Linked DNA regions of Mus musculus: all the other regions are reported to be linked to region 1. Evidence: microRNA targets listed by miRTarBase, many of them from high-throughput screens and not tested one by one. Region 1 holds a microRNA gene; each other region holds the end of a gene's coding sequence.

Region 1 (3,085 bases):
TGTCTCCCTGAGATGTGGGAGCAGGTGAGAGCCTTGCGCCTTCGTCCCCGCCTAGAACACCCCGGGTCCATGGGAAGAGATTAAAACAGAAGATGGGTCCCTAGGACGAAGAACAGAAACAAGGAGCGGGGCATTTTGGCAGAAGGCAGAAGCTGGGAGAGTGTCCTCGAGCCGCACTGACCACCCCCTCCCCCAATAACTAATTATGTTTCAGCACTGGAGACGCGGACAGCGCCATCCGGCTGAGGGACTCGGAGCAGAGTTCGGCTTCAGCACCAGGATTTCGGACAGCTCCCAGCGGGTCACGAAGAGACTAGGCTTCAGCACCCGGCCCCTGGCAGTGCCAAGCTCTCAACACCCAGCTTCAGGGATCGCCTTGGGGTCTGTTCTGGCGGAGAGTGTACAGGGAAGGAACCTCTTAATGGTTCTTGGCATTTGTCCTTTACGGAGGGATTTTTTTTTTCTTTTTTGAAACAGGGTTTTTTTGTGTGTACCTCTAGCTGTTCTGAAACTCACTATGTAGACTAGGCTGGCTTCAAACTCACAGAGTACAGGCGAAGCATTTGGTCAACGAGATGTTATGAGTGCCTCTGGGTGTACTAATTTCCAAAGTGAAGTGGTGAGGGGAAAGCCAGCCTCAATCCAACTTTAAATCTCAAGTTCTTTTTATTTTTAAAAAGAGTTTTTCTCTCAATTATATATATAATTATTATTATTTTAAAACACTGTAGACCAAGCTTTGAACTCCTTGTGTAGCCAAAGATGATCTTGAAGTTCTCATCCTCCTGCCTCTACTCCCTGCGTGCTGGGGTGACAAGTGTGTGCTCCTCGTGCCTGGAACAATAAATCCCACGTTGGTGATGTGCCAGGGTGTGAGTTGGGGGGCAGGTAGAGAATGAATCTTGCCTGTGTCTCAGGGGATGGAATGGAAAAGGGATGTCTAGGGAGGGTAAGTCAGTGAGTGGGGTTTGTTATGCTCAATCCTCTATGGAGAGAGAGAGAGAAGCACTTGAGGGTGTTGAACCTGGCGGAGGAGGATGAGGACGAGGAGCGGAGTACGTGAGCCAGTGCTATGTGGAAGACTTGTGATTTTGTTGTTCTGATATGATATGACAACAAGTCACAGCCAGCCTCATAGCGTGGACTCCTATCACCTTTCTCCTGAAATACACAAACAGGTAGGGGCAGGAAACTGGGACAGGAGGGGGTTAAGGGAAGTCTAGCACGGACAGGAGAGGGTGTCTAGCAAGGTCTCGGGCCCTGGGAGAGTGCAGGAGTGTTTCCCATGCTATTGGCCTGTCACTCAAACACATCTACATGATAGGATCAGAGACACAACCTCAGGGCCCTGGGTCACAGCACCGTGCTTTCTCTGGAGACTCAAATAGGGAATGGTGAGCCAGTGGAGTAACTCAGAGGGAAAGAGTGCTTTGAAATTAGGGAACCCAAGCTTGAGCCCCAGGATCAACTGGGTAGAAGGATAAAACCAACTCCTGCAAGTTGTCCTCTGACCATACATGTCCTGTGACACACATGCTTCCACACACAAATAAATAAACACACATAAAAATTTTTCTTTTTTTTTTTTTTAAGAGAGGGTTTCTGGGGCTGGTGAGATGGCTCAGTGGGTAAGAGCACCCGACTGCTCTTCCGAAGGTCCAGAGTTCAAATCCCAGCAACCACATGGTGGCTCACAACCATCTGTAATGAGATCTGACTCCCTCTTCTGGTGTCTGAAGACAGCTACAGTGTACTTACATATAATAAATAAATAAATCTTTAAAAAAAAAAAAAAGAATTACATTTAAAAAAAAAAAAAAAAGAGAGGGTTTCTGTATATAAACCTGGCTGTCTTAGAACTTACTCTGTAGACCAGGTTACCCTCAAATTCAGAGATCCACCTGCCTCTGCCTCCTGAGTGTTTGAATTAAAAGCATGTGCATACATAAAACTTTTTTTTTTTTTGGTTTTTTGAGACAGGGTTTCTCTGTATAGACCTGGCTGTTGCTCTGTAGACCAGGCTGGCCTCGAACTCAGAAATCTCCCTGCCTCTGTCTCCCAAGTGCTGGGATTAAAGGCATGCGCCACCACTGCCCGGCCATAAAACTTTTAAAAGAGGGATTGGCATCAAAGGTACTTCTAGAAAACCCTGAAATTCTTTTCTCTTTCTTGTTTTCTTTTCCTCACTCTTTTCACTTTGCCTGCTTTGAGACAGTGTCACCTGTAGTCCAGGCTTTTCTCTAACTCTGAATGTAGCCCAGGATGGCTTTGAACACTGAGTTCTCTTGCCTCCAGTCCCTGAGAACCATGCCTAGCATACACGGTGTTGGATTCAGAATTTCAAATGCTTTGACTGGGTACGGTACCCATGGAGCCCCAGCCCAATTTTCAATAAAACTCTGTGCCCGCCACACAAAGCAACCACTAGTTGCATGACTGATACCAAGAAAATGTGGACTTGTTGTCTGGTGGGTCATGGCATTCTTAACATTCAACACCTATCATCTGTGACATTCTAATGCAGTCACTAACCATCCCCCACTGTGCAATTCTCCCCAGCTGTCCTAGTGTGCATCCTGGTGCTGTGACAGGACCTTGACTCAAGAAAAGGGCAGGAAAGAGTTTATTCAGCTTACAATGATGGCCACACTCCATCACTGAGGGAAGTCAGGGCTGGAACCGGGAGGCAGGAGCTGATGCAGAGGCCATAGAGGGGTGTTGCTTACTGGTTGCTTACTTGCTTCCCCTGGCTTGCTCAGTCTTCTTTCTTATAGAATCTGGGACCACCAGTCCAAGGATGGCACCACCCACAATGGCCTTAAATCATTAATCATGAAAATACCTGATAAAGGCCTTTTCTCAATTGAGGTTCCTGCTTCCCTTAAGCTCCACCCGTGTAAAGCTGACATCAAACTCAGTCACACAGCAGCCCAGGGGCTGCTTTGTCCATGCAGTTTCCTCTCTTGGGTCTGCACAGTCCACTCACATAACCTCCCATAACCAACTCTGCCTTCTCCAGGCTTCAGCTCGGTGGGAGAAACTTCCTGTTACCTCACTGGTCAATTAGGACAAGACTTTGTTAACA
Region 2 (3,085 bases), not on the chromosome of region 1:
AGCTCTGCATCCCCCTCAGTGGCTACCGGAAGCTCCCAGAACCAGAATTTTTCCACAGCAGCAAACAGCCAGCCTCAGCAAAGACCGCAGGCCTCAGGAAATCAGCCTCCAAACATTGTGGGACAGGCAGGGTCTGCTCGGAACATGGGCCCTAGGCCTGGGGCTCCTTCCCAAGGGCTCTTTGGTCAGCCTTCCAGTCGCCTGGCACCCGCCAGCACCATGGCTAGCCAGAGGCCTGTATCTTCCACAGGTATTAACTTTGACAATCCAAGTGTACAAAAGGCTCTGGACACCCTGATTCAGAGTGGCCCTGCCCTTTCCCACCTGGTTAGCCAAACTGCAGCACAGGTGGGGCGGCCCCAGGCCCCCATGGGATCTTACCAGAGGCATTACTGAGGCTCTACTGGTCTACTGTTCCTAGCCCCACCCTTCCCTGGCCCCTCCTACTTCATCCTAAGTAGAGTTGTTTGGAAGTGTTCGAAACACTTTCCAGGTCAACATCAAATATCCTAAGTTTCTCTCACCACTCCTTCCTGCGGCTGTTGCTTATCACTTATCAGAATCAGAACTTAGACTGCATTCGGGGCTGGATCTTTTGTTTGGGTAGAAGATAAGTGTTCTGGGATCTGGGCTCAGCTTCTGTCTGGGATCGCTCTGGCACCTGCCTGGCAGATTTGGAGGAACAGGAAGAAGCCAAGCGCAGCTGCCCTATGGGAACACCATTTCTGGAGGCAGTGGTCATAGCCTTAGTTTTCACCTCCACAGCAGCCAGAGCTGCGTCCTGCCTGGCTCCCAGTGAAGCCAGGTGGTCTTGGCAGACAGTGTCATCATTGTTCCATCAGAGAATAGAACTCCAAGGACTCAAGAGTGATTTCTCTGGACTGTGAAGTGCCATGTGGCAGCCAGAGAAGAGAGGACTCTTGTGACTGCATCAGAGTGGTCCCTTGAAGTTGGTTTGGTTTCGTATTTTTTATTTTCCTGGAGGGTCTGCAGACAAGTGAGCAGCTCTCTTGGCACTTTGACATGAACTGTGACTCTGGGGCCCACTGCTCTCCACAGCGTTAGCTGCACCTTTCTCTCCGGCTGCACCTCATGCAGTCAGCACTGGGGGCAGCTCCAGGCTCTGGAGCTGGACACCTTGGTGGTCCGTGATTTCTTTTGAGCCCCAGGCTTTTGTTTTCATTCAGACTCTTGTTCTGTTTTCTGATGAGCAGGAGACGGGGACCACTTGATGGTAGACTGTGGTAGTTGGGTATGTTCTCATACAGAAGAGCATTCGTGTAACTTCTGAGACAGGGTGATGTTTAGAGAAGGGCTCTGGCTGCTGCCCTGAATGGAGCCAGAGGAAGAAGCGCCTTTTCCTTTGGGAAAGGCTGCTCATTAAATGAAGTGAGGATCAGGTCAGGGGAGGGTCAGGCCTGGCTGGGCGGCAAGAGTGCTAACTCCAGTCCAGTCCCTGCCAGAGGCTGAGCAAACCAGTTTCAAAAGCTAAGTCCCCAAATGGCAGCAGTTTATGTTCTGATCTGTTTGTGTTATACGGTGGGTCCCCCTCCCCCTTTGGAACTCTTGTGTTGTTGATAAAATGAAATAATTACTTTTTAATTAAAATGAAAAAGTCAGACCTGTGCTAATCTTTCTTGGGTGTGTCTGCAGCAGCACCTCTGCTGAGCACTTTCCCCAAGAGCAGAGTCTCTGTGCCCAGCCTAAACTCGCTGTGCTGCCCGCCAGTGAGAAGTGTTGATAGGAATGCCTACAGCAGACTCACGCTCTGTGCCTGCTGCTAGAGTCGGTGTATTGCAGGTGTCCAAGATAGGTTACGGGGAAGGAAGCCACTGTGAGGAAGAGCCTCTCTGGGCCATGGCTGTCATTCCTCTTTTGCCTTCATGCCTGTTGCTGCCCATTGTGCAGGAGTTTGGCATAATCTATAGTCAGAACATGGAGGCCTTGAAGAGCCTTTAATCTACTTGGCATGACTGTCCTGACCCTCCTCTCAAGAAGAGAGTTGCTGCCTCCCAGAGGGTACCATGTGACTTGACACCTAGGAAGCACCTCCTACCTCAGGCACAGGGCCCCAAAGCTGGTGTGCTCACTTCTGTAAGCAGAGGAGAGTTTCCCACCTAACATCTAACTGGCCAAGTTCCAGCCCAGCCCGGGCTTCATGAAACCCTGTCTCAAAAAGCCAAAGCTTCATAGGCCGACAGTGAAGTTGACTTCCTCCTGAAGCATCTAAACCGTACCCTTCAGGCTATCAAGGGTGTAATAAAATTATTTTTATTGCATTGTGTGCAGACAGGTATCTAAAAAATTAACACAGTAAAAGCCTTAAAGCATTAAGTGGGAGCATTCAACAGTAAAGGAGAGAACTGACCCTCTCCTTTGCGTATTGGCACAAAGAACACAAGATCAATACCGAGTCGGGATGCGAAATACCGAAACACTAAAATTAAAGGCAGGCCTAATAATAATAGTAATAACAATAAATACTCTTGATTTGGCTTGCAACCTCTCCTATTTACAAGGGTTTTGGACTGCATTGCATTGCCCTGCACATAGGTCTGCTGAAACAGAAGCGACACTCTTCTCACTACCAGGCTACTGAAATATTGCACTCAGAGTAGAAGTCACCTGGATGGACATGGAACATCTAGCTACAGTGATTATAGAGGTGACTTGAACGACACAAGGTTCATAACAAATATTGCACATGGAGCACAGAAAACTGGGGGTTTTGTTGTGGGCTGTTTTCATCAACGGAAACTTTGCTCTTGCCAACCAGAGTCTGGGCCCAGGTCATGCAACTTTGGTTCCCTAATTGGTGTCGATGCTGCCTCCTCCCCAGCTACCCAGCCCCTCTCTTTCCCCAAAAGGCAAAACCACTGCAAGGGAGGGCAGACTTGAAGGATGGTGGGCCCTAGGTCCTACACTTCCAACTTGATGGCTACTGCCTGGAAGAATGCCCAGTCCTCATCAAGCCTTGAGAGGGGCTTGAGCCAAGCAACAGGGCAGTGGCCCTCCAGCCCTGCCACTGGCCACACCTGAGCCGTTTGATGGCACCAGCTGCAGTTCTCTCTGCCTTGGGCTCAAG
Region 3 (3,085 bases), not on the chromosome of region 1:
TCTTTGTTTTTCGTGGTGCATACATGTAGGTATGTGTTCATGTTTGTGTGTGCATACATGCATGCATGTGGATCAAAGGTCAAACCTCAGGAGCTATTCACCTTGGTTTTGTTCTGGTGTGTGTGTGTGTGTGTGTGTGTGTGAGAGAGAGAGAGAGAGAGAGAGAGAGAGAGAGAGAGAGAGAGAGAGAGGAGAGACCAAATGAAGATATGAAGATGTCAGGTACTGTGTTAGCTTTATATAAACTGGAATAGAGTCACAGGAGTGGAAGGAATTTCTGCTGAGAAGTCAGTCCCTAAGATCAGGTTTGTAGGCAAGCCTGTAGGGCATTTTCTTAGTGATTGATGGAGGGCGGCCCAGGCGATTGTGGGCAGTACCTCTGTAAACGGTTGTCCTTGGGTTGTATAAAAAAAAGCAGGCAGAGCAAGTCATGAGGGGCAAACCAGTAAGGAGCCCACCTCCATGACCTCTGCGTCAGCTCTGCCTCCAGGTCCCTGACGTGAATGTCTCTGATGGTGAAGCGTGATATGGAAGAGCAAGTGAAACTGAACCCTTTCTTCCCAAATTGCTTTTGGTTGTGGTGTTTTGTCCACAGATACCTTCCCCTGTCCCCTTCCGCTTTATTCATTTGAGAAAGGTTCTCTCAGTGAACTCAGAGCTTTCGGTTTCAGGGAGGCTAGGTGGTATTAGAAATACTGTCTCCCAAACCAAATAAAAAGTTATTTAAAAAAAAAATTGGGCTGGCAAGATAGCTCGGTGGATAGACACTGACGACCGTGACTTACAAGGTAGAAAGAGAAAACTGACTGCCCCTCTCCACACACACAGAAATCTGATAAATCCTGAGGTTCGGATTCTTCGCAATGTAGCAATGCAGCAATGCCTGAACTTGTTCCTTCACGTATGCTTTTTGTTTTGTTTTTCGAGACAGGGTTTCTCTGTGTAGCCCTGGCTGTCCTGGAACTCACTTTGTAGACCAGGCTGGCCTCGAACTCAAAGGTCCACCTGCCTCTCCGTCTGTGTGCTGGGATCAAAGGTGTGTGCTACCACTGCCCAGCCTTCATTTCCCCATCTCTGAGATGAAATTCTGAGATCTTGTCTCACTCTAAAACCTTTTTCCTCATGTTGGTGTAACCGTGTACTCCACAGCGTGGCTGCCCCCCAGGAGAAAAATGATTGTAGAAGGCCCAAAGGCGGAACACAGCAGCACGGAGGTGAGGTAAAGGCAGAGAAATGGCAGATTTATAATGTGGGCCACACAGCCATGAAGGCCATCGAGTCTCCAGATCTGCAGTCTGCCAGCCAACTGCACAGTCACTAGTTTCTGACTCCAGTTCAAAGTCAACAGGGTTAGGTCTCATTAGAGCAGAAGCGACTAACAAAGTCTGACATCTACTGTTCCTTCTTTGCTTTCTCTTCATCTCCTGCCTTCCTCTCTTTCTCAGGCAGGGTCTCTTGATGAACCTGGAGCCCACTGAACTACACTGGCTGGCCAGTGGGTCACTGGGATCCATCAGTCTCTGCTGCCCCAGTACTGGGGTTCCAGAAGTCGCCATGTCTGTTTTCTATGTGGAAGCAGGGATCCAAACTCACGTTCTTATGCTTTTTTGCAGGCACTGTACCCCCAAGCTATCAGCCTCGCCTTTTGTTTTTAACTCACATTAGAAAAGCAATCAGCTTTACTGGGTTGACCACTAAACGTTGTTAATCTCATCCAGAGATACCTTCAGACATAACCAGAGTACTTGACTAAGATACGGCCACTCTGTGGTTTAGTAAACTTGAGAAGTGACAGCAAACACTACCAATTATTAAGTGTCCATGTTGGGCATTTCCTGTGTAATATAGCATTCTGCAAGGCAGTTATTACCCGTATAATTAAACTAAGAAACCAGAGTTTTAAAGATTTAAGTAGGTTGTCTCAAGTCACTTAACTAGAAGCTAGCAACAGAGTTCATTTTTCATTTGCTTTTGTTCTTAAACAAGGTTTCATATACCCTGGGCAGGCCTTTTTTTGTTTTTTAAAGATTTATTATTATATGTGAGTACACTGTAGCTGTCTTCAGACACACCAGAAGAAGGCATCAGATCTCATTCCAGATGGTTGTGAGCCACCATGTGGTTGCTGGGAATTGAACTCAGGACCTCTGGAAGAGCAGTCAGTGTTCTTAACCGCTGAGCCCTCTCTCCAGCCCTGGGCAGGCCTTAAACATGCTTGGTAGTGATGCCTTGAACTGATCCTCCCGCCTTCATCTTCCAAGTACTGGGACTACAGCACTGTGTACACACTAGGCAAGTATTCTACCAACTGAGCCCCACCCCAAGCCGGAGTCCAGTTTCAAGTCTGGGGTAAAGCAAACTTTTTTCCAGCAATAATAAAAATCCAAATTGGAATGTCCTACAGAACTCGCGGACAGCTGAGGATGCCCTTCAACTTCTGACGTTCCTGCTTCTGCTGAGTGCTGGGACTACAGGTGTGCACCACTATCTGGATTATGAGGTGCTGGGGATCGAACTCAGAACTTCACCATGGCTAAGCAGGCACTCTACCTACTGAGCTAGGCCCGAAGTCCATAGATGCACCATTTAAAACAACCTTTTAGAATATATGCACACCATTTAGTTGTCTTACTCTTCAAAGGATACAAGCTCCTTTAAGCTGAACATTATAAATACAAATTTTATTTAAACTTCTTGTGTGATTCAAGTAGAAAAGTCCGCCCTTGACTGCTACACACAATGGAGAGCGAAAGACTTCCGCCTCCTGACAACCACTTCTCTTTCTCCCACGCTGTCATCTTCTTGCTTGTAAATCAAGCTTTTAATAAATTACAAGTGTGTAATAGGTCCTTGTCCGTTGTCTTTCTAGCTACTTAATGCACTGTTGCATAGCAACAACTTTGTTTTCTGCTGCATCTTTGTTGGAAGTCTGAGAGTCTGAAATCTGCACTGGCTTGGGTGAGCGTGGGAATTTTTCTGGTACCACGCATGCAAATATCCATTGTAGAAATCAGTAGCTGTTAGTGTTTTCTTAAGCATTACTGACCGAACACCGATCCAGCCATCCTAAAGGACAAAGAACAGA
Region 4 (3,085 bases), not on the chromosome of region 1:
GTTCAAGGTCGGTCTGGGTTATGTGGTAAGACTGGAAAAAACAAAACTCCCAAAGGGCAGGAGAGATGGCTTAATGGCTCAACAGTTAGAGTATACTGTATACTGAATTTGGTTCCCAACACTCCTTTGGGGCAAGATAACAAAACCACCTGTTAAGTCCAGTCCCAGGGGATCTGACACCTTCTTCTGGCCTGCACATGGGCACTACACTCATATGCATAACTCCACAAACATAAATGACCATTATTTTTAAAAAGGAAAGGTAAATTTATAATGGTCAGATGCAATATGGCCTTCTTGGGGACCAGTAAACAGGGTGGAGACTTCCTGTTGTCTGATTCCTCTACATAAGGTGCAAGTTGGGACCAATCAGATATTAGCATTAACAACTGAGGTTGGGGAGAGAAAAACAACAACAAAAAAACCCAAACCACATGTACCATGAAGGGCTGTGGGTGTTTTTAATGGTTATACAAATACTAACTAAAACAAAACAAAAAACTTTTATTTAGCATTTCAAGTTGTCCTCCAAATGCTACATTCATACATTAAAAAAATCTGTATCATGTATGTTTATGGGAGTGGTTACACATGTACCACAGCACCTGTGTCCTTAAAGGGCAACCCTGGGGTTGGCCATCCCCCCTTCCCTGTGTGTCTCATTTGTGGCCCCTCACTGTAGAACACTGGAGTTACAGCACACATGTAGCATATCTAGACTTACTTGGGTTCTAGGGATTGAACTCAAGTCCTCAGGCTTGTGGAGGCACTTAACTCACTGAGCATGTCTTGAGCCTTTGCATGCTTCTGTTAAACAGTATCCGACATCTAGGTAGTTTGGGGGTTAGATGGGGAAGGGGGCAGGCACAGGTTCTGTGGCCGTTGCCATAACAAATCTATAGACTACAAAAACAAACAAAACCAAAAAAACCAAAAAGTAAACTAAGTTCAACCACCACCAAAGCTGGGAAAACTGCTCTTAATTGCAAAGGCACAACACTTAGAGGTGGTTCAGTAGCCAGGAACCTGTCATAGGAGTGGAGCTGCAACTAAAGTGAAGAAGGCCAGGTGAGCTTCAAGAATGAGCCCAATAATGTGAGTAACCAGTTTCAATTGTTGGAAACAGGACCTCAAAGTAAAAGTGGGAGTATGTTGTGCGTGGGCCTAAGTGGTCAGGACAGCTTAGCCCTGACAGCAGGTGTGTGTGCTTGGCATCAGGGCAGAGCTGAGCTCTCACAGCAAAGCTGATCTGGCTCCAAGGCAGCATCTCTCGATGACTTCCACACCTCTAGCACTTATGTTACTTTGGCTCAGTGGTGACAAGTGCTTGTTGCTCTTGCATAGGACCTGAATTTGGTTCCCAACGTCCACATGAGACAGTTCACAACTACGTAGCTGTGAGTGACTGCAGCTGGTTACAGAGGGCTCCAATGCCTTCCTCTCCCTCCATGGACACACACACTTTAAAATAGAAAAAAAAAGTGTTATCACTTACAATTTTAAATGGTAAATGTTGCCCTAAACACTACATTCACATGTCTTGACTCAAAGCCAAGAACCAGCAATTGTATGGAGTACCACACACTGAGACTCCAAGCACAGAACCTTAGGACAGCAGGCTAGCAATTTAGCCATGGACTGTGACAGGCCCAATTCATGCCACATTCTGTAAAACCACTTAACCTGTCCCCAAATCCTTTCCGAGTGCCTTCACTGAGTTCCAGACAGACAGAGTGAAGGAATACCCTCTACCCTCAGGCTCACACTATTACTTACTTTTGTCAGTGGGGCAGAGAATGGGCACAACCACAACACTTAAGTGGATTGTTTCATCAAGGAATTTAATATTGACCTAACAGAATTCTAAGAAAACCACATGGCTAGATGGTTAAGCATCCTGCCCTCCTTTTTAGAAACCTAACTTCTAATTACTAGAAACAAAGATCTTCCACTAGGCCTCTCTGAAGTACATTTTCAATGTTTAGAATTTTGTCTATTCAGCTTGAAGGATCTTGGAAAGAGAAGAAATGAGACACTGTCTTTAAATAATATACATTTGCAACAAGTGAAAAGTTTACTGAAAACTTTTATTGTAATCAAAAAGTGACATAACGGGGCTGTAATGAGTTCAGCAATCATTCTGCTGATATTTTTGAACTGATATCAGCATTTGCCAGGCAATTAAAAAAATTCAAATGTGAAAATTTCACAGTACAGTAAACTCCACCCCAACTAATTAATGGTGGTTAAAAATAATAGGCCCTAGCAAAACCTCTCATGTTCCATGGTCACAACTCACAATTCTGTACAAAAGTTCGTTATAAAGCTCTGATGTAAAAATGAAATAATCAAGCAGCAAATACTTTTAAGTGCAGCACAGGGTCTTCCATTCATTATTTACAAGGCTGGAATCTCTTTACATTATAACAGAATTTAATACAGATGACTTAGTAATTAAGTCAATTAACACATCCGTCCTTCACACAGTGACAGATCTCACTTTTTGGTCATCTTTCTCCTTCTCCTTGTCTTTGTTCTTCTTGGCCTTCTTCTTCTTGTGTTTGTGTTTCTGGCTCTTCTCCACGTCGCCGTCGGCGCCTGCGTGCTTCTTGTGCTTCTTGTGCTTTTTATGCTTCTTGTGCTTTTTCTTCTCCTTCTTCTTCTTCTTCTTTTTGCTGTCCTGGCTTCCGGCTGAGCTGGCACTGCTGCTGTGGCTTCGGGTCTGGCTCCCGGAAGGGCTATGACTTCTACTTGGACTAACACTGGGGCTACTTTGGCTCTGGCTCCTGTCTGCACCTGGCTGGCTGGCCGTTGCTACAGTCAAGCTCTCTTTCGCTTTCTCTGTTGTTTTCTCTTTCAAGTCCTTGGAGATACTGGCAACAGCTTCTTCTTCCTTCACAGACACATTACTCTCACTGTCGCTCTCATTATAATCTGGTTCAAAGGCAGCCTCGTCCGTCTCCCGGGTCAGGTCAGAGGAAAGCCTCGAGGAATGGCTCAGCTGGGGTTTCGGCTTGACGGCGCTCTTCTCCACCTGCCCAGCAGCCAGCTCCTTCTCCATGGGAGGGTCTGGCGGGTTAGGTAT

What was found. Region 1 holds the annotated microRNA mmu-miR-7b-5p (UGGAAGACUUGUGAUUUUGUUGUU, at 1,076-1,099, shown strand). A microRNA usually pairs through its seed, bases 2 to 8, with sites in the 3' UTR of a target mRNA and lowers its output. Matches are read on the target gene's strand: a 7mer-m8 pairs with bases 2 to 8, a 7mer-A1 pairs with bases 2 to 7 and ends in A, and an 8mer does both.
Region 2: miRTarBase lists Ncoa5 as a target of mmu-miR-7b-5p. The part of its 3' UTR that is shown has no 7-base or 8-base seed match.
Region 3: the mRNA of Mtfmt is a reported target of mmu-miR-7b-5p. Seed matches in the 3' UTR shown: 7mer-A1 at 2,149-2,155.
Region 4: miRTarBase lists Rbbp6 as a target of mmu-miR-7b-5p. The part of its 3' UTR that is shown has no 7-base or 8-base seed match.

Annotation. Positions count from the first base shown.
Region 1 is chr17:56,241,942-56,245,026 of GRCm38, forward strand. Mir7b (microRNA 7b) reads left to right here and starts at 1,047; the gene lies at 1,047-1,157. It overlaps A230051N06Rik (RIKEN cDNA A230051N06 gene), which reads left to right. Exons shown (of 2, transcript NR_155493.1): 2 at 215-864.
Region 2 is chr2:164,998,893-165,001,977 of GRCm38, reverse strand. It overlaps Ncoa5 (nuclear receptor coactivator 5), which reads left to right. Exons shown (of 8, transcript NM_144892.1): 8 at 1-1,621. The coding sequence ends at 396. Slc12a5 (solute carrier family 12, member 5) reads right to left here. Exons shown (of 26, transcript NM_020333.2): 26 at 2,247-3,085. Among named protein-coding and RNA genes, the nearest start is that of Slc12a5, 32 kb to the right of the region's middle.
Region 3 is chr9:65,451,986-65,455,070 of GRCm38, reverse strand. It overlaps Mtfmt (mitochondrial methionyl-tRNA formyltransferase), which reads right to left. Exons shown (of 9, transcript NM_027134.3): 9 at 2,017-3,066. The coding sequence ends at 2,866. It also overlaps a transcript of Spg21 not described here. Among named protein-coding and RNA genes, the nearest start is that of Spg21, 7.4 kb to the left of the region's middle.
Region 4 is chr7:123,001,539-123,004,623 of GRCm38, reverse strand. It overlaps Rbbp6 (retinoblastoma binding protein 6, ubiquitin ligase), which reads right to left. Exons shown (of 18, transcript NM_011247.2): 18 at 2,052-3,085. The coding sequence ends at 2,480. Among named protein-coding and RNA genes, the nearest start is that of Rbbp6, 33 kb to the right of the region's middle.